3 linked regions of the Anolis sagrei genome follow. The protein of the gene in region 3 purifies or fractionates together with the protein of the main gene of each other region. This does not show direct contact. Links are inferred from orthologs where the notes say so. Each region holds a gene or a part of one and is shown on either strand. Other genes may lie near its edges. The genes, in order: MAPK9, MAPK8 and DUSP8.

What was found.
Region 1: the proteins of DUSP8 (region 3) and MAPK9 purify together in Homo sapiens (affinity purification with mass spectrometry; 4 studies listed by BioGRID and IntAct, with this or other methods). This does not show direct contact. The link is inferred for Anolis sagrei from reciprocal best matches to the Homo sapiens genes DUSP8 and MAPK9.
Region 2: the proteins of DUSP8 (region 3) and MAPK8 purify together in Homo sapiens (affinity purification with mass spectrometry; 3 studies listed by BioGRID and IntAct, counting the BioPlex papers as one, with this or other methods). This does not show direct contact. The link is inferred for Anolis sagrei from reciprocal best matches to the Homo sapiens genes DUSP8 and MAPK8.

What each region holds. Positions count from the first base shown.
Region 1 is NC_090022.1:87,597,493-87,605,082, forward strand, and holds the start of MAPK9 (mitogen-activated protein kinase 9), read left to right. Parts: upstream 1-4,489; 5' UTR 4,490-4,629; intron 4,630-7,590. UniProt on the Homo sapiens protein: Serine/threonine-protein kinase involved in various processes such as cell proliferation, differentiation, migration, transformation and programmed cell death.
Region 2 is NC_090023.1:142,173,223-142,180,282, forward strand, and holds the start of MAPK8 (mitogen-activated protein kinase 8), read right to left. Parts: upstream 3,082-7,060; 5' UTR 2,926-3,081; intron 1-2,925. UniProt on the Homo sapiens protein: Serine/threonine-protein kinase involved in various processes such as cell proliferation, differentiation, migration, transformation and programmed cell death.
Region 3 is NC_090021.1:243,965,506-243,972,640, forward strand, and holds the start of DUSP8 (dual specificity protein phosphatase 8), read right to left. Parts: upstream 3,050-7,135; 5' UTR 2,962-3,049; intron 1-2,961. UniProt on the Homo sapiens protein: Has phosphatase activity with synthetic phosphatase substrates and negatively regulates mitogen-activated protein kinase activity, presumably by catalysing their dephosphorylation.

The sequences.
Region 1 (7,590 bases), on a different chromosome or scaffold from region 3:
GTACACGCATCGACATTGGAATAGCCTGGTCTACGCGTTTGGATCATGTGATTTTAATGTTTTTATTAGGTGTTTTAATTCTTATATTTCACATTTTAAATGTCTTTTTTTCCTTATCTTATAGTAAATTGTCCTATTAATTTTATGATTAATTATATGGTGTTGATTTGTGATTTGGTTTATGTATGTAAGACATTGAATTTTGCCATTATTTCTGTGTAACCCGCTTTGAGTCCCCCCAGGGGTGAGAAAAGCAGTATATAAATACTGTAAATAAATAAGCAAAGGGAAAAAATCCCCCTTCTGAAACTGCTATACCTGGAACTGTGGTTTTCCCTTTTAAACAAGGTTAGCCTCCCCTGTGCCTTTTGAAAAGTCAAAGGTGTTAGAAAATTTGATGCTTAGACCAGTTTGTTTGGTGTTTATTACTTATTTATTATTTAAAACATTTATATTCCACCCTTCTAACCAGGAAGAGGACTCAGGGCGGAGCACAGCATATATACGGCAAACATTCAATGCCAGGATAAGAATTCATTATATGCATACATAAACATTAAAAACATTTGTCTAAATATTAAAATACACTGTTTAAAACTGTCTTGATCATCTGCGTCCAATCTAATTGGCCTGGTAAGGTTTCCTATTGCTGCTTTATTGCATCATCCTGAAAGCTTGGTCTCACAGCCAAGCTTGTGGGACCAAATTTGTGGGGAAAGGAGTACACAGAGGTCTTAGGCATGGAAAAGTGGGCCCTGGATCTTGCTTTAGCGGTATTCAAAATTGTAGTTTAGGATAGGGCTCTACAGAGAAGAAAAGCTTAACATTTTAAAAGTCTGAAATCACCAGTGACAGTGAAAATGCCTGAGCAGCTGGGGTTTCACCTATAAAGAGATGTTGAGGTGGTTCAACGAGTATATCTCAATATGAGTACAATTGGCCCTTTGTATTAGCTGGGGTTTGGTTCCAGGACACTCTTTGGATACTAAAATCCATGGATGCTCAAGTACCATTATAAACAATGTTATGGTAAATTAATGTCTTAAACAAAATGGCAAAATCAAGGTTTGTTTTTTGGATTTTGGGTGGGGGCGGGCAGGGATATTTACAAGCCCGTGGATGATTGAATCTATGGATAAAGAATTCAAGGAAACAGAAACAACTGTATAGCTCAATGACACTATCAATTTAGTGTGTGGTAATAATTTTTATACCCTGCCTCCATCTCCCCAAAGGGACTCAGGGCTGCTTAGACATGGGACAAAACGTCCACAGTAGGTAAAGGTTTTCCCCTGACATTAAGTCCAGTCGTGTCCGACTCTGGGGTGTGGTGCTCATCTCTATTTCTAAGCCGAAGAGCCGGCATTGTCCGTAGACACCTCCAAGGTCATGCGGCTGGCATGACTCAGTACATAAGGCAAAAACATAAAAGCAAAACAATCCATTAAAAACAAAATACAATTAAAATAAAACATACCAAAACAAAACATAATCAGATAAAACACAAATAAATGGGTATAAAAACATCAGCCTTAAAGCTCAGACAATACACAACAAAAACCAATAGCCAGAAATACTAAGGTGGTAGCTAGTTATAGAAAAGATATAAAAGGATGAAGTTGGGCAAGAAAGGAGCTTTGTGATGCCTCTGTGCTCTTGTATCCAAAGATTCTAACCTGTCTATCTTATTGAAAACTGAAGTACTAATTGCCCCAAAAGAATTGTGTACATAAACATCCTTTAAAAAAAAGGCAGCCTTTGCATCCCAAACTAAAAGAGGGCAGGCATGTATGATAGGACGGATATTCACAAATTGTGGAATATCCTTCCCTCAGAGATCCATTGGGTATCCAACATTGATACAAAGCATTCTGGCACTGAGTAAGCACATTTTTTTTATTAAACCCTTTGAAGTCAACTTGATTTTAATTCAATTTTATCATTTGCAAAGTTTCAGGTGATTCTCACTTATTTTAAATTGCCTATTCTAAAAAGTATAACCATACAATATAGTCTGTCTTAAATTGTGTTTGTCTATGCCACCTTTGGATTCTTGTGTTTAGGGTGGCATCTGCTGTGTATGATTGTATATGGATAGATAGCAAGCCACGATTGAAATATAAGTACCTATATACAGGGGCAAATTAGATATTTCTTTCCTACACTAGAATTCTGAATCTTCCTGGCAAATATCTTCATACAAATCACAGTTAATTGATAAAATTACCTGCCACAAGATGTAATTACCACTAGCTTGCATAACTTTGAAAGGGAATTACACAAATAGATATGTCTTATGCATGGCCCCAAGTAATGGTATGTTGTTTGAAACTATCAACTTCAGGGAAGCACCATTTGCTGGGAATTAATAGGAGAGAGCTATTACTTTTACTCCTTATAGAATTGTCAGTGAGCCATTAGGACACTATTGTGGCAAACAGAGATGAGTTGGCCATACAAGGCACCATGTGCCATTTCTCCAGTCCTATGCCTTCAAATCAGCATAAACCCTATAAATCTACATGCTTGCCCTTCATCATGTTCTCCCTCTATTGAGAATGGCAATTGTGAATGGCCTTCAACTATAAAATGAGCACAAAAACTGGTTGGCTCAAACCTTACCCTGAAATCTTTGACGGAACAAGAGGACAAACTTTTTACATATACAACGACCACTGCTAGAATTGTTTTTGCTAGAGAGTGGAAGCAAGGCACAGTACCACCCGTACAGGATTGGGTGGAAAAAATCAGAGAAATAAAGGACATGGACGAACTGACTTTTTTGTTGAAGAAAAATACAGGCATGATAATAAAAAGAACGAATTGGGACAATCTTCATGACTATCTGGACAATTTGCGAATATAAAAAAACAAGAGAGACAATTTTATTATCTTTAATAAAAAAAATATATTTTTGAATAACAAGAATATTTTATCCAAGAAGATGGAATGGAAGTCACTTTTTTTCTTTATTTTTATTTTTCTATTTTTTTTGTATGTGGATTTTGTAGGGTTTTATTTAGGATATCTTTTTTTACTTCTTACTTTATTGGCCTTTCCCTCTCTCTTTTTTCTTTACTTTTCTATACCTAATTGTTCTCACTCTTTCGTTGTATTCTATATAAAATTTAATAAAATTCCTTTAAAAAACACACAGTTACAATTAACACAATTAATTGAAATGAGGACAGAGTGATCAAACTGCCACTTTAAATATGTATCTCATTGCTAGGTCAAGGCAGATTTATCTCATTGTTGGGGGTGCTTTTTTCTATTTACAATCATAGTGCTTGAGTCAGCTGTTTTTCCTTGCCCATGACATACCACTTTTTGAACTACAATTTGATTTATATGCTGACACTGACCAGGATTGGGTCAAGATGGAAAAAGTGGACCAGGAGCACTCAAATTAGCCAAAACTAAGATGCATCCATTTAAACATCATGTGCTGCAGGTATACTGAAGTAGGATCCAACTCATAATAAACATCTATTAATTGGTGCCTCACTGGCTTTGGAAAGTCCTTTTGGTTTGTACATATGAGTACAGACAGAAAGAAGAAAACATGTTCCTCTCAGTTTTTCCCTTCAAGTATTTTGATAACTAATATTGATTATGTTTTCCTTCCTGCCCTTCCACACAACCATATAACTTAGAATATCAAGGCAAAATAACCCACAACATCTGCTTTGAATTGAGTTATCTAAGTCCACACTGCCAAATATTTAAAGATTGAACTGCAAAGACTCTGGCACAAGCCAGTCAAGGTGGTCCCAGTGATGATCGACACACTGGGTGCAGTGCCTAAAGACCTTGGCCTGCACTTAAACACAATTGGCGCTGACAAAATTACCATCGGCCAGCTGCAGAGGGCCACCCTATTGGGATCTGCACAGATTATTTGCTGATACATCACACAGTCCTAGACACTTGGGAAGTGTCCGACGTGTGATCCAATTCAACAGCCAGCAGAGTGATCTTCTCTGCTGTGAACTCATCTTGTGTTTCTAATAATAATAATAATAATAATAATTGGGAAGCGTTCGACTTGTGATTTTGTGATATGAAGTCCAGCATATAGCTCTCATTTGCTGTGACATACTGTGTTTTTGTCTGTATAATAATAATAATAATAATAATAATAACAATAATAATAGTCCTAGACGCTTGAGAAGTGTTCAACTTGTGATTTTGTCATACGAAATCCAGCATATAGATCTCGTTTGCTGTGACATACTGTGCTTTTGTGTCAATAATAATAATAATAATAGGACTCCGGACTCGACAGTGAGGGAGAGTGTCAAATTCAAAGGCAGATGACATGAGCTCAAAAGCTTCCCTCGTCCCCTCCCTGCTTCCTTCCCCTCCCTCGGTGACACAGGAAGGCGCGCAGAGCGCCTCCCGCCATATATAGTGGCCTTTAAGCCCCGCCTCCGAGGGCTGGTTGGTTGAGCCTGGGAGGTCCTCAGCGCGGATTGGGCGCGCGGGTGTCCGTCAGCAGATCGGGGCCTGGTGCGGCCTGTGAGAGACTGAGGGAGGCCATTGCAGCTGGAGAGTCTGGGGAGCCTCTGGAGGGAACGAGCGCCGCCGCCGCCGCCGAGTGCGCCTCCCAGAGCGGGTGTCGCGGAGGTGAGGCAGGCCGAAGGAGGCGCCGCCGACGGTGCGGCCGAGGAGCGAGCGGGATTTCTGCGGGGAGGAGGGGAGGGGGGCCGAGCCACCTTGAGGGGGGCGGCGGCGGCGGCTACGACCATCCGCCTCGGCCTGCGCCCCCGCCTAGAGCCATTCCTGGCCTGGGACTCGCCCGACGAGGCCTCGGAGATCGGGGCGACCTTTACCCCCCCCCCGCGCCTTGCCCATTCCCCTCTCGGGGGCCGCACTCCCCTCCGCCTCGCCTGCTCTTTGGCCAGGAGAAGAGGCTTGGGATGCGGCTTGGCCCCGGAGAGGGTTTTTGGCCCTTGTTCGTGAAGGGCCAGGCCTCCTCCTTGGGCCAGCAGCCTCTCCCGAGCCACCCCCCCCCTTCCCCCGCCACTTGCACCCATCGTTTTCACGGGCTAGGCATATGGCGCTTTCTGGAGGTGAGCATCTTGCAATCATCAGTGCAGGGAACTGTCTCTGCTGGCCATAGTGGGCATCCAGATGTTGAATTGCGAATCTCAGCATTGGCTTACGGTTGTGGACCCTTGTTTTAAGGTTTGGAGGATGCGATGGGCAAGGTCTCCTTTTTTGGCGAGGAGAAAGACTTTCAGGAAAGCCATTTCCCCTCCTGGTCCACTCACACATCCTCTTCATCATCCCTGCTTGAGGTGAACATCATGCATTAATCAGTGAATCCAGCTGTCTCTTCTGGCAATAGCAATGGTTCTCAACCTGCGGGACCCCAGATGTTTTGGCCTTCGGCTCCCGGAAATCCAAACAGCTGGTAAGCTGGTTGGGATTTCTAGGAATTGTAGGCCAAACCATCTGTGGACCCACAGGTTGAGAACCACTGGGAAATAGGGTCTTGTGGGCCTCCAGGTGTTGAAGCACAAATCTAGGCGTGATGCTAGCTGAGGCCCTACAACATCTGGAAGGTACTATGATTCCCACCCTAGTCTATGACATGGGGTAGTTAAGGAGATGGGAATTAGTAGCACAATTCTGCACCTGTTCATTTGAAAGTAGGGTTTCAAATGAATTTACTAATGAGGTTTACTTTTAAGGGTCAATTGCACAAGTTCCATTTTGTGTAACTACAAAATGCCATCTCAAACCAGCCACAATATATTGCACTATTTTTATTGGAGATGTTGGTGTTGGAGGCAGTTCTAGACTCTTCGTGGATGGCACTTATTTTATTCCAGTGTTTATAGCCTGGCCACGCTGCCATCAATTTACCTCCACGGTTAGAGGATTGCAGTCTGAATTGATGTTTTTATATGTCCATTGTTTTATTGTATTGTATTTTACGTTGTGTTTACTTTTATGTTTGTTTGTGCCATCTGTAAGCTGCCCCAAGTCCCTTTGGGGAGATAGTGGTGGGATATAAGAATAAAATAGTTATCATCATCATTATTACTTTGCTTTGCATGTAGGTGTCTGTTTGTTTCTTCTTTTAAAAAGTTATGTATGTGAGATTGTTAAGTCTGGGTTGTGTTATATCCTGCTGTCCTCAAATTCATATACTGCCTTTTAAGATTGGTTGTTGGACTGATTTGTTTCTACTGATTGGTTAGGGCAGTTAGTTTCTTTACTAGCAAAAGATTGTTCTCTTCCTATAGTATGTCTCAGTCATGATGTTTATTTTATTTTCTTCAATTTTATTACTGTTTATCGATTACTTTCCTTATATGAAAAATACATTAATAACTTTCTTGAACATATGTTCACTATTGGGAGAAATCACTAATTCCTAAGACAGCGGGAAAGTGATTTTGGGAGATTTGACTTGTCAGATTACTATATAAGTTGACTGTGCAATCAGTAAATGTAGGGTTTACAACAGATGTTGCAATCATGGAGACTCAAATCCAAATCCAATATGTTTTCTGTTGGATAAATCTACAGAAAACCAAAACTAGCTGACATTTTGGAGCTGCACCTCTATAACAAATTGTGTTGTTATCTATTCCCATGCAACTCTGTTGTACACAAATACACTCAGTGAGATTTACTTTCACATGTGTTTCTCATGAAGGCGACAATGACCTAGCATAGTTAATAAGCTATATGCTATGGTTTGAGCGCACATGTTTACCAGTACATGCAATGTCATAGTATCAGTAACTTCTAATTTATATACTTTATAGGGAATGATCATGTAATTTCTGCTCTTGCAGTTTAGTAGACATGGAAGCGTACTTCTTGTTTTAGGGAGTATTACTTAATTTTAGTGCAGATGCATATTTTACATTTCAATGAATAAATAATATATGTTAGCTAATCTTGTGATTTTTTTTATTTGAAGATTTTCTTACATATATATATCATAGAACATGACCAAGCATTATACAATCTTCAGTTTTCACAACAGTGACATAAGATGCCATTTGGTGCATTTGCAGTGGCACTTTACTGCTGGTTCATACCTGGATGTGCTCCAATCAATGTATGATTCACTTTTGACCAGCTGTATTTTAGTATTCAATCACTACTGGAAGATTCTGTGGTGGTTCATTCCTGTTTCCCTTGGGTGCTTGAGAGAAATAATACAGTTCAGGAATAGTATGTAACTGCCATGTATTCTGGACAAAACTTGTGTACGCATACCTCCAGTCTTCTTTTATGTAATGGTGTATGGTAGAATTGCTGTTTTCTTCTTAGCTTCAGTAAAACCCAGAGGAAAAACAGTACCCTGTTCTTCATCTATACAAATAATATCAAAGTAACCTACTGTAGCTACCCAAAAGATGATTTAAAAAACCGAGTTTACTTATACAGGCCATCCTCAAGTTATAAACATCCAATGTACAAACAACTCATAGTTACGACCGGGCCTCCCCCCTCCCCCCCGCCATGAAATCTTAGCGCTGAGCCAAAGTGTGCCTGTATCTTTCCACCCCTTTCCTTTTTCTTTCTATCGGTATCTCTCCAACCCCACTTCTTATGAATCTC
Region 2 (7,060 bases), on a different chromosome or scaffold from region 3:
AGCAATTTGAGTTAAGAGCTCAGTCACAAAATAAATTAAATTAGTAAGTCAAGGTATCACTGTATATTTGCAAGGCAAGCTATATTGCAAGACAGCTATTAAAAATGTGGGAAAATCCATATGTTTTGCTGTGGTACCAAATATAAGGAAAGGATGCTGGAGATGGCTCACTCAAGCTCTTTCGGTTGACAATGAGCGATAAGTAAGCCATCCCACCATCTGACTCAAAACTTTTACTGAACAAAGGTGGGTTAACAAGTTAGTAATTTTTCACGGAACCTCTGAAATAGGTCAATGAATAGGTACTAGTAGAGACAAAACTCCATCCAATGCCTGTGATTGAAGACTCTTTTAAATGAGTAGGCATAGATATTAAGGGTCACTTACCGAGGGCCCTTCCACACTGCCCAATATCCCAGAATATCAAGGCAGAAAATCCCACAATATCTGCTTTGAACACGCAGATAATGTGGGATTTTCTGCCTTGATATTCTGGAATATAGGACTGTGTGGAAGGGCCCCTACAGCAACCAGGAAGAATACCTATCTTTTGACCGTAGTCACTTATGTTGTTTGGTACCCAGAAGCAGTTGCCTTGTCAAATCCAAAAAAACACCACTGTTGCAGATGTACTGGTAACCTCTCTTTTGCAGAGTAGGGTTTCCCAGTGAAATGATTTCAGATTGGGGATAACACTCTTTGTAGATTGCATCTCTACAGAATGAACAAAATACAGGTTGAGTATCCCTGATTCAAACTGGTAAGGACCATTAGGGTTTTGGATTTCAGATTTTGGAATATTTGTATGTGCATAATGAGATATCTTGGAGATGAGGCCCAAGCCCAAACATGAAATCCACTTGTGCTTCATACACACCTTATACACACAGCCTATAAAATAATGTAATAATTTTATGTGTACACAAAAGGTCACTATCGTGTACAACTGTGGAGTATTTGAGAATTAAAAACACTCAACCTGTACTTTCCTCATTAGATTCTGAGTTCTGGCAGTGGCACTTGGGAAGAGCAAATAATGGCAATATTTTCCAGGCTAATCAAAAGATTAATACATTTTCACTTTCACAATAGCTTACACCAAATAAAACTTATTAAAGTTACAAAAACATTTAAAGATAATTTAAAATGATATGGAGCTCATGGTTTATATTTTAAGAGCCACTGGTATGGCTGTTTTCTGTTCACTAGGTAATATAAATGTATGTTTGAAGGTTTTTTTACCTTTCTTCTCCCATATAAAATTTGGCCCACTCTTATTAATCATTGCACCCATTCATTAGAAGACAAAAATGGTGCACAGATTAATAAGATGTGGGACATATTTGATATGCGGAGAGGAAGAACAAGGAAAAGGGAGGGTGACTGTGTAGAGATGATAGTGAAATGCTAAAACGGGACAGAGAAAAGACAGGACTGCATAACAGTTCAGGAGTATGTGTTGCTGAATCACTGAGTTGCTGTGAATTTTTTTGTGCTGTATGGCCATGTTCCAGAAGCATTCTCTCCTGACGTTTCACCTGCATCTATGGCAGGCATCCTCACAGGTTTGTTCAGAGGTCTGTGGGGATTCTAGTTGTGTTGACAACTAGAGGGAGAAGTCTGTGGGAATTCTCAGATTAAATGTGTGTGTGTGTGGAAAATCCAGTGTGAACTCTTGTTTATTTGAGGCAAGTGTGAATGTTGCAATTAGCCAGCTTGATTAACAACTGAGTAGCCTTACAGTGGCAAAGCCTGGCTATTGTTGCCTGGGGGCACCTTTTGCTAAACCAACCTGGACACTGAATACTATTTGAAAACACAGAAATGCTGGACCACTTTGACAACCAATATGTCAGACTACATAGAGAAGTCATCAAAATCCACAAGCATGTGGACAATTTCAACAAAAAGGAGAGAACCATGAAAATAAATAAAATCTGATTACCAGTATTAAAAAAAAACACCAGAATCAAGACAGCAAATAAAGAACACCATTCAGGGCTCTTCCACACATCCCTATATCCCAGAATATCAAGGCAGAAAATCTCACATTTTCTGCTTTGAACTAGAATATATGGCAGTGTAGACTCAGATAGCCCAGTTCAAAGTAGATATTGTGGGATTTTCTGCCTTGATATTCTGGGATATAGGAATGTGTGGAAGGGCTCTCAGAAGCAGGGGAACTCTAGTCAGCAATCAAGTGCCAGTGGGTTGTTGTAGGATTTTCCGGGCTATATGGCCAAGTTCTAGAGGCATTTTCCCCTGACGTTTCGCATGCATCTATGGCAAGCATCCTCAGAGGTAGTGAGGTCTCACTTCGACAAAACAACCAAGTGCAGTTTACATCTCTCAAACAAAGCACGTCCCCAGGCAGAAACCGCCAGGCTTTGCAGCTGCAGGGCTTTTCAGTTGCTAATCAAGCTGGCCAATTGCAATAATCACACTTGCCTCAAACAGACAAACAGTTCTTTCCCCCACCCTGGACATTCCAATGACCCCACTTGCCTCATTCCCACAGACCTCAAAACCCCGAGGATGCCTGCCATAGATGCAGGAGAAACGTCAGAAGAGAATGCTACTGGAACATGGCCATACAGCACAATAAAACCCACAGCAACCCAGTACAGGAGTACAGGAGTATTTTGCTCGACAGTTACAAGCTTGGTAGATGAAGGGAATGATGTGAAGGCAGCTGATCTTGATTTCAGTAAGGTCCGCTTCCTCACACATGGACGTGCACTGCTTCCTCAGCCATGAGATAAACACAGGTCCGCTATCCCTTTCCCTCAGGCGGGGCCTCCAGCCTGCCTGCGCCTCTCGCCAGACCCAGCCTCCCTCTCTCGCCCCCCTCCTCCTCCTTCTCCCACCCCGAGGCCGGCCAAGGCCGCGCTGACCAAGCCTTCCCGCCCCTCCAGGCTGGCTCACCCGGCAGAGAGCACCCGAGGCGGGTGGCGGCCGGCGCCGGACTGCGGCGCTCCTCCTTCTCCTCCTCCTCCCCGGGCGACTAAGCAGGGACTGAGGCATAGGCGGGATGGGCACCGCGGCGGCGCTTCCGGTCTGCGGTGGTTGGTGGGCCGCTTCCGCATCCGCCGCTCGGGGTGACCAGGCGGAGTGACGTCACCGGCGCCGCACCTGCGCGTGGCAGCCCCTCCCCCTGGCTGCCTGGGGGGGGGGCAGTGCTTGGCGCGCCTTCCAGCCCCTTCCGGTTGGGTTCAGACTGAACGCGGCCTTGGCGTCCCCCTTGAAGATGGGAGACTGTGATTTGTCCAAGGGCGCCGAATGGGTTGCTATGGCCACGCAGCGCGCGCTTCTCGAGGGGGCTTCACGCTATACCCCACTCATTGGCGCTGAGAGAGGAGGCCGCCCACCTGTCACCCTGTCGCTGCTGCTGCCTCCTCCTGCAGAATTCTGGGAGTTGTAGTTGAGTGAGGCCCAGGGCCTCTCTTGGCTGAGCCTTTCAAAGGCCTCTCCTCTAAACAACAAGTCCCAGAATTCCGCAGGAGGAGGAGGCAGCCACATGGCTTGCAGACTCCTTGCCTCTTCTTCTAGTGTGATACCTGCCTTCGTTTTCATAATCTGTTTGAAATATAATATTCTGCTTTAACATTTTATCTCATGCATTTGGCCCGCCCTTTGTGTTTGATTTTATTATGTTATTTTGCACTGTTTATTTTATTTTGTTATATTATGTATTTTGTTGTGATGTATTTTTCTGTTCGCAAAAGCCGGGTTGCAGCTAAACATCAAAAAAACCAAGATTATGGCAACAAGAATGATTGACAACTGGAAAATAGAGGGAGAAAATGTGGAGGCCGTGACAGACTTTGTATTTCTAGGTGCAAAGATTACTGCAGATGCAGACTGTGGCCAGGAAATCAGAAGACGCTTACTTCTTGGGCGGAGAGCAATGTCCAGTCTCGATAAAATAGTAAAGAGCAGAGACATCAGACTGGCAACAAAGATCCGCCTAGTCAAAGCCATGGTATTCCCTGTAGTCACCTACGGATGTGAGAGCTGGACCTTAGGGAAGGCTGAGCGAAGGAAGATAGATGCCTTTGAGCTGTGGTGCTGGAGGAAAGTGCTGAGAGTGCCTTGGACTGCGAGAAGATCCAAACAGTCCATCCTCCAGGAAATAAAGCCCGGCTGCTCACTGGAGGGAAGGATACTAGAGACAAAGTGGAAGTATTTTGGCCACATCATGAGAAGACAGCAAAGCCTAGAGAAGACAATTATGCTGGGGAAAGTGGAAGGTAAAAGGAAGAGGGGCCGACCAAGGGCAAGATGGATGGATGGCATCCTTGAAGTGACTGGACTGACCTTGAAGGAGCTGGGGGTGGTGACGGCCGACAGGGAGCTCTGGCATGGGCTGGTCCATGAGGTCACAAAGAGTCGGAGACGACTGAACGAATGAACAACAACATTTTTCTGTTGTTTTTGTGTCTAATTATGCTGTGTTATTTTTGGGCTTGGCCTCATGTTAGCCGTCCCGAGTCCCCTTTGGGGAGATGGTGGCGGGTTATAAATAAAGTTTATTATGATTTGATTATGATTATTATTATTAGAAACACAAGATGAGTCCACAGCAGACACTCTGCTGGCTGTTGTATTGGATCACACGTCAGACACTTCCCAAGTGACTAGGACTGTGTGATGTATTGGCGAATAATGCGTGCAGATCCCAGTAAGGTGGCCTTTTGCAGCTGGCAGATGGTAATTTTGTCAGCGCCAATTGTGTTTTAAGTGCAGGTCAAGGTCTTTAGGCACTGCACCCAGTGTGCCGATCACCACCGGGACCACCTTGACTGGCTTGTGCCAGAGTCTTTGCAGTTCGATCTTTAAATCCTTGTATCATGTCAGCTTTTCCAGTTGTTTCTCTTCAATACTTTCTCAGCCTCTAAGGGCAGACATTTCACCAGTCTTATCTTTTTTGCCAGCAGCCTTTTCTGTCAACCAACAGAACATACTGGAGGGCTTTGTGGGGGGATTGACTCTAGATTTCAGGAGTTATAGTTCACCCACATCCAGATGGCACCCTGAACCCAGCTGACAACAGACCTGGACCAAACTTGGCACACATACCCAACATGGTCAACTTTGAATACTGGGGGGTTTAGAATAGACTGACCCATGATTTCGGGAGTTGTAGTTCATCCACATCCAGCAAGCACTGTGAACCCAGCCAATGATGAATCCGAACCACACTTGCTACACATGCCCAATTTTAAATACATGGGGGGAAGTGGCTTTCAATGAATTTTGGGAGTTGCCATTCACCCACATCCGGAGAGCACTGTGAACCCAGTCCAATGACGGATCTGAATCAAACTTGGCACACAAATCCAACATACCCAACTTAGAATACCGGTGGGGTATGGAGCGGGGGTTAACCTTGACTTTTGGGAGTTGTAGTTCATCTGCATCCAGAGAGCATGGTGAACCCAGCTGAAAATGGATCTGGACCTCATGTGGCACACATACCCCACATGTTCAACTTTGAATAGTGGTGGGTTTTGGGGGAATTGACCTTGAATTTCAGGACTTGCAGTTTACCTGCATCCAGAGAGCACTGTGAACCCAACCAGCAACTGATCTGAACCAGCCTTGGCACACAGACTCAACATGCCCAACGTTGGGGGAAAATAACAGATGATAGTGGGACTTGCAGCTCACCCTGATCCATATGCATTTTCTAACGGGACCACTCATAACATCCAAAAACACACAATTACTTTTTCTAATGTTTATCCTTACCAGATTACATAGCCAAATTACATCACTGGGTACCTAAGATAGTATATAATATCCTGCTTTGCAATTCCCACGGAGGAATCTCTTGTATTACTTCAAGTCATTTCTGACATTATTTGTTGTGAACTGCTGTGAGTCACCTTCGGGCTGAGAACAGCGGTATATAAGTAAAGTAAATAAATAAAATAAATAAATATAGTGACTCTAAGGTAGGTCTTTATCGTGAGGTTATCTTAGCAAAATTTGTCCAGAGGGTGTTTGTATTTGCTTTTCTCTATTGAAGGGTTTCTCAAACTGTGCTTCCTCAGATGTTTTGGGTTTCAGCTCCCACAGTTCTAACAGCTTGTATGCTGGCTGGGATTTCTAGGAGCTGAAGTCCAAAACACCTGGAGGAGCACAGTTTGAGAAACACTGCTCTACTGAATCATTAACCTGATCCAGCACAATTTTGTTTCAAATGTGAAGTCTGTGTTTGTATTCCAGCATACAAATGAACAGTAAAATCTGTAAATAAATGCAGAGACTCGATTTTCCAATCTTTTATTCAACTGAGCATAGTGACCACCTCAAGATAGGCCTATCAGCATTGTGGTTCATTGTACTGAGCAACCTTCAAGTGCCACAGATTTTTAAGAGTAAGAAACCTGGGATATATCTATGTTCCCCCTATAGTTGAAGTTACAACACCACTTTAACGGTCATGGGTCCATCCCACAGAATTCTGGGTCTTGTAATTTGATAAGGACTTAGAATTCACTGTCAGCTCTCTGTCCTACAGCGTAAGAATACAGTGGAGAGTTCCAAGTTCCTTACCAAACCACAGATTCCAGGATTCCATAGGGTGGAGCCATGGCTGTTAAAGTGGCATCAAACTACAGCAATTGTGCAATATGAGTACACTTTGCCAGTGGTAATGCCTTGCTGCTATATGTCTTCCTTTTGCTCATTCACTTTGCCGGCTTCACTCATGTGCTTCTCCCAACAAACTCCCACCAGTGATGGATCTGGACCAAGCATGGCACATTTATCAAACATGACCAACTTTGAATACTGACAGAGTTCTGGGGGAAATGACCCATGATTTTAGGAATTATCGTTCATTCATATTGTGGCACACATACCCAACATTTGTTGAGGGAAAAGGAACAAAGATCATGAGAGATTGTTGCCAATGAAAATGAGCAGCTTGGAGAAACATATGAAACAGGCCCGTAGCCAGGATTTTGTTTCGGGGGGGGGGGGGGGGGGGGCTAAAAAAATTTCAGGGGGGGCTGAGTTTCGGGGGGGGGGCTGAGTCTGAGTGAAAGAGGGT
Region 3 (7,135 bases):
CCTGCTTTATATGCATAGTTCTTCAGGAATTTTATAAACAGCACATTTAATAATTGTGTGTATGCACATTTTGTGTGTACATGTTGAACCAACAGAAAATGAAAGTCTCAGCCACCCACAATTTTGGATTTGGGAGAATTTTGGTATTCCACATAATAAGGGATGCTCTACCTGTACCTAGGAAATACTACAAATCAGAGGTTTTGAGTTAGGATTGGTAAGATTCCTATACAAGAAATAGATAGAAACCCCTTTACATTTAAAAGATGTTAAGAAACAGGTTGCCACCATGGGTGCACAAACTGTATAAAAGAAGAAGGTCTGGATCTTCTTCTTGCACTCAGTCACATCCCTATGCCCAGCCACGAATCATAGAAGCATAGAGTTGGAAGAGACCTTGTGGGCAATTTAGTCCAACCCCCTGCCAAGAAGCAGGAAAATTGCATTCAAAGCACCTCCAACAGATAGCCAACCAGCATCTGTTTAAAAGCCTCCAAAGAAGAAGCCTCCACTACACTCCAGGGCAGAGAGTTCCATTGCTGAACAGTTCTCATGGTCAGGAAGTTTTTCTTAATGGTCAGGTGGAATCTCCTTTCCTGTAGTTTGAAGCCATTGTTCCACATCCCAGTCTCCAGAGCAGCAGAAAACAAGCTTGCTCCCTCCTCCCTATGTCTCCCCCTCATACATGGCCATCATGCCTCCTCTCAGCCTTCTCTTCTGCAGGCTAAACATGCCCAACTCTTTAAGCTGCTCCTCATAGGGCTTGTTCTCCAGGCCCTTTATCATTTGAGTCGTCCTCTTCTGGACAATTCCTCTTCTGGACAATTCTGGACAATTCCAGCTTGTCAACATCTCCCTTCAACTCAGAACTGGACACACTATTCCAGATGTGGTCTAACCAAGGCAGAATAGAGGGGCAGCATGACTTCTCTGGATCTAGACACTATGCTCCTATGATGCAGGCCAAAATCCCATTGTCTTTTTTAGCCGGTGAATGACATTATGTTTAACTTGTTGACAAGCCCTGCAAGAAGAAGACATTCTCATTCCCTCTAACAAGGGGACGCCTATCCAGCATCTTCCCCATCCTCACCTGTATCACTTCTCATGTTTATTTCCACTAGGATCACAGCTATGCCACCAGGAGACAGATACACCTCTCTACTCTGTGCTTTTATCATTTTGGAGAGGTGCAGTGGATGATCCCAGTCTCTCTGCAGAACAGTGTGGTTGCTTAGTAGGTGGGACTGGACTGCACAGCTCTCCTGCATAGGTGTCCCTGCAGGCAGGCAGGCAGGCAGGCAGGCATTTAAAGACCCCAAGTGCTGAATCACCACTCCAATATGGTTGCCTGGCAGGAGCTCTTATTCATACCTGCTAGAGGGCCTTTTCATTAAAAGAGTGTTTAATTCCCTCTTATTTACTGAGGGATAAAGCTGCAGACTGGCTTTTCTCTGATCCTTCCAACCTGCTAAAGGATCTTGAGCAGTAAACCTTAATAGACACAACTACAAGAACACTGGCCCGTCAATCCAAGGGGAAACTCGTGAGACCCTTCCAATAAGAACACCCAATTCCTCCTCCAAAAGGAATAGAGAGAGGACATTCTCCTCTTCCTGGGAAAACACTGCAGCTGGGATTTGCCTGTGTGGCGTTCAATCTAGCAAAGGCAATGCCCTGCTTGGGGAGGATTCACACTGCTATAGAATGCCTGTTCGGAACTGCATTGTATGGTCAGTGTTCATAAGTAGATGAGTTGTTGTAGGTTTTTCAGGTTGTATGGCCATGTTCTAGAAGCATTTTCTCCTGATGTTTTGCCTGCACCTATGGCAGCCATCCTCAGAGGTTGTGAGGTCTGTTGGAAACTAAGTGGGGTTCATATATCTGTAGAATGTCCAGGGTGTTGCAACTGGCCACCTTGATTAGCATTTTAAAAAACCCTCTAAAATCAGGACAGTAAATAAAAAAAAACAACACTCAGAAAACAGGAGAATTCCAGACAAGAAACAACCAGGGCCAGCTAACACCTCCCACTCCGGTGGGAAGCTTCCCATCAACAAGAGGAAGTATCATAGCGATGAAGATGGAAAATAAGGTTGTGGCAATAACACACCTGATTCCACCTTAAATGGGCGAAACGTCAGGAGAGAGTGCTTCTAGAACATGGCCATACAGCCCGAAAAACCTACAACAACCCAGTGATTCCGGCCATGAAAGCTTTCGACAATACATAGATCAGCAGAGTCCTATAATGCCTTTTCAGTCTGAATAGCAGTCTATGGCAGCCTGGATCCAGCCTTGCAATGCGCAGCAAGACGGACGTCCCGAGCTTTTCCTCCTCCATCCTGGGCTTTCATTGCGTCCTCGGGGTAATCGGATTTCTCCCTTCCTTCCCTTCTCTTCCATCCCGTGTTTAATCCTCCTCCTGTTACTTAAACACACGTCATAAATATGCGATTGGCAGGCTGCAGGGCTCTCTCGGCTCTGCACCACAGCGATGCGCTCCCGTGAGCGAGTTCAGGATACTCGGATTCCGCAGACACCGTGCCCAGAGGCATGCCCATCCCCATCCCCATGCCCATGCCCATCCCCGCGCGCCCTCTTCCCCTGGCATGGGAGCCCGACCTTGCGAGGCGGGTGGCTCTGGCCAGCCCCGACCTTGCTTGCCCATCTCTCTTCCTAATCCCGTTTTGCACACACACACACACACGAAGGCAGGCCCCGAAGGGGGCTCCAAAAGCAGCGGATCCCCACGGCAGCGGGTGGGTCTGGATGCGGCAAGTCCGAAAGGTATGCCTCCCAAAGCATCTCCGCGCCCTCTCTCTCAGGGCTGCAGGTGGACCAACCCCAGGCACCATTGAAAGGGAACGACCGCAAGGTTTCCGGCGAGCCCGGAGTGCCTTCCCCTTGGCGTGTGTGCCCCCCGCCAGCCCCGCTCCAAGCAAGGGCATGCTTACTTACCCTCCTGGCACTTCCTCCTGCAAGCCTGCGCCACCCGGGCTGCCTTGCAAAGGTCTGCGCATTCGCCAGGAGCGAGAGGAGAGGAGAGGATCGGGGAGAGAGGGGCGGGGGAGGGAGGGAGGCAGGGAGCGAGCTCTGGAGGGGAGGCAAGGGCTGCTAGCCCTCTGCAAGCACGCGCGCGCAGCCTCCCTGGCACGCGCGCATGGTGCCAGCCCCGCCGCCGCCGAGGAGCGTGGGCAGCCCGGGAGGAGTGAGCGGGTAGGTGCGCGCGCACCCCCCCTCTCTCTCTCCTTCTCTCCTTCTCTCCCTCCCTCCCGTGGAACCGAGCAACAGCAGGAGGCCGGGGGTGGGGAGAGGAGAGGAGAGGAGAGGAGGGGGGATTTAATGGAGCTCAGCCTGATCCAGGCTGTGAAGGGCTCCAGGAAGGCAGGACTGGAGGTTGCCCTTTGGAACTAAAAATGAACTGAGGATGAGGTCATGCCTCGGTGGAAAAAAAAGAAAGAAAAAAAGAAGCGCCCCTGACGTCACCCGCAGCCAATCAGCGAGGGAGGCTCAGGGGCAGGATGACGTCAGCCTCTGATCCTGGGGCTTTGGGTGCAGATTCAACGGGAGGAGGCGGGCCAGGGGAAGGCTCCGTTGCCGCCGCCGCCGCCGCTGACAAGGGACGAGGGCTTCCCGCTTCCTCTTTCGCCTCCCCAGCTCGCTTCACGGCCTCATCCCCTCCCAATGGCTCCCCTTCAATGGGGAATGGGGAATAGCCTGAGAGCTGGGCCCGGAAGCTCCGAGCGTTACGGAGATGCCGCATCGCTCCTTCGGGAGGGCTCTTGGCGCAAGAGAGACTTCGCTCATGGCAGCCAGGCCGGAGGAGACAGATCATATAGAAGGCATGGAAGCCTTCTTTGAGGGTGAAACCCTCACCCTCACCCTGAACCATATTGTAAGCCTAACCCATTTCCCAAAACCCAAACCCTAAACCATATCCTAACCCAAACCCTAAACCTTACCCTAACCCTTATGCTAACTCAAACCCTGACCCTAACCCAAACCCTGAACCTTACCCTAACCCTTTCACTAAACCTAACCCCTACCCTAACCCTTAACCATACCCTAACCGTAACCCCTAACCCCTACCCTAAACATAACCCTAACCCAAACCCCAAACCTTACCCTAACCCTTACACTAACACAATCCCAAACCCTAAACCTTGCCCAAACCCAAACCCTAAACCTTACCCTAACCTTTACACTAACCCAAACCCTAAACCTTGCCCTTACCTTAACCCTAACCCTTACCGTAACCCTAACCTAAACCCTAAACCTTGCCCTAACCCTTACCCTAAGCGTCCTTTCCTTTCTAGCTTTCCTTCGCTCTCCCTGCCTTCACTCCGCCCCTTCTCTTCCCTTATTCACAGCCGCCTTTGCAACATCTCTGTTAACACTCGGAGCTTCCAGACCCAGCTATCATACTCTCACCGGGAAATGTTCCAGCCCTGGTGCAGGGAATGCAGCAGTGGAGGGGGGGAAAAAGCACTGTCCATTCAAAGAATCATAGAATCATAGAGTTGGAAGAGACCTCATGGGCCATCCAGTCCGACCCCCTGTCAAGAAGCAGGAAAATTGCATTCAAAGCACCCCTGACAGATGGCCATCCAGCCTTTGTTTAAAAGCTTCCAAAGAAGAAGCCTCCACCACACTCAGGAGCATAGAGTTCCATTGCTGAACAGCTCTCACAGTCAGGAAGTTCTTCCTCATGTTCAGATGGAATCTCCTTTCTTGTAGTTTGAAGCCATTGTTCCGTGTCCTAGTCTCCAGGGAAGCAGAAAACAAGCTTGCTCCCTCCTCCCTGTGACTTCCTCCCACATATTTATTGATGGCTATCATGTCTCCTCTCAGCCTTCTCTTCTTCAGGCTAAACATGTCCAGCTCTTTAAGTCGCTCCTCCTAGGGCTTGTTCTCCAGACCATTGATCACTTTAGTCACCCTCCTCTGGACACATACCAGGTTGTCAATATCTCTCTTCAATTGCGGTGCCCAGAATTGGACACAATATTCCAGGTGTGGTCTAACCAAGGCAGAATAGAGAGGTAGCATGACTTCCCTGGATCTAGACACTATGCTCCTATTGATGCAGGCCAAAATCCCATTGGCTTTTTTTTTGCTGCTGCATCACATTGTTGGCTTGGACCAAATAGGATTTGCATTTACAGGCGAAGGTAGAGAAAGGCTTCTTTGCAGGAAGAGGGACTGGGATACCTCCCAACCCACTAGAGCAGTGTTTCTCAACCTTCCTAGTGCCGCGACCCCTTAATACTACAGTTCCTCATGTTGTGGTGACCCCCAACCATAACATTATTTTCGTTGTTACTTCATAACTGTAATTTTGCTACTGCTCTGAATCGTCATGTAAATCTCTGAAAAGCAGGATGTATTTTCATTCACTGGATGAAATTTGGCACAAATACCCAATATGCCCCAATTTGAATATTGGTGGGGTTGGGTGGAGGGGTTGATTTTGTCATTTGGGAGTTGTAGTTGCTGTTGCTGGAATTTATAGTTCACCTAAAATCAAAGAGCATTCTGAACTCCACCAATGATAGAATTGAGCCAAACTTGGCACACAGAACTCCCATGACCAAGAGAAAATACTGGAAACATCTGGTGGGCATTGACCTTGAGTTTTGGAGCTGTAGTTCACCTACATCCAGGGAGCACTGTGGATTCAAACAATGATGGATTTGCACCAAACTTGGCACGAATACCCAATATGCCCAAATATGAACACTGGTGGAGTTTGGGGAAAATAGACCCTGACATTTGGGAGTTGTCGTTGCTGGGATTTATAGTTCACTTACAATCACAGTGCATTTTGAACCCCACCAACAATAGAATTGAGCCAAACTTCCCACACAGAACTCTTGTGCCTTGAAGGGACTTGCTGCCGTGAGCCTCCCTCCAGCCTCACATGCTCTCCCTTGCTCACTCATGTACACCATGCTACCATGCGCCAAGCATGCTTCCTCTCCCTTCCCCTCCTCTCCCCCCCCCCCCCCCCCCCCGGCTTGGAGTCTCAGAAACAGCTAGCCAATCACAACTGAGGAGGGCTTTTGGTGGGAGCATTCACATCTGATGGAGAGATCTTCAGCCTTCTCTGCCAAAGGGGTTCCTATAAGTATAGGTTTTCTGATGGTCTTTGGTGACCTCTCTGAAATCTCCTCATGACCCCCCACCCCCCGGGGTCCCAACTCCCAAGTTGAGAAACACTGCTCTAGACCTTGAGACAGTGGTATTGGCTTGGCTGCTGCATGAAGAAGGATTTGATCTCCAGGAATGGACTAAATGACTGCTGGTCAGAATATAGCCACACCTGGGCTGTGCTTCCTGCAGGGTGATGGCAGGCAGATGAGTATGTACTGGTCTGGAAGGTCAATTCAAAGGACGGTGGATTAAATCATAGGTAAAGCAATGATGTCATAATAGTGCAGGAGTCATTCTCATACATATATTTCAGTGTGTGCTGTGAGTTGGTTTCAACACTATCCATAATCTAGTGCTGTGGGTGGAAAAATAATATTCAGAGCTAAATTTCATAAGCCACTCATATTTGCAGTTGATGGTGGTTTTGTTTATACCATCACAGTTGTGCACAACTCTATTTTCCATACTAACCACGGCCCATTTCTTCCTTTAACAGAATTGTGCTATTTCCCCCTTAAATGACATAATTGAGGGACAGTCCTTTCTAACACAGCAGGCATGTAGCCGGGGGGGGGGGGGGGCTATAGGGGCTTCAGCCCCCCCCCCCCCCCGAAATTCTCATGGTGGTCGGCGAGAAGGCTTTACTGGTACATTATTTAAACTGTTATGTTTATTAATATCATGATCTGATCACCATTCTCAATATATCCCATATGTATGGGGGTATTGGGGTAATGATACAAAAGGTTTGCTAGGGTAGACCCTCTTTCACCCAGACTCAGCTCCCCCCCCCCCCCCCCGAATCAAAATCCTGGCTACGGGCCTATAACACAGGTATTGAATATAATGACACACCTCCATTCTAGGGTGCAAATCTCTTGTTACCTGGTTTTGGATGCCAAATTAAGCTAGTACTTTGGGATTAGAGGCTGTCGTGTTGTCCCTGGGATATCCAGGTAGGGCTTGGAAACAATTTTGG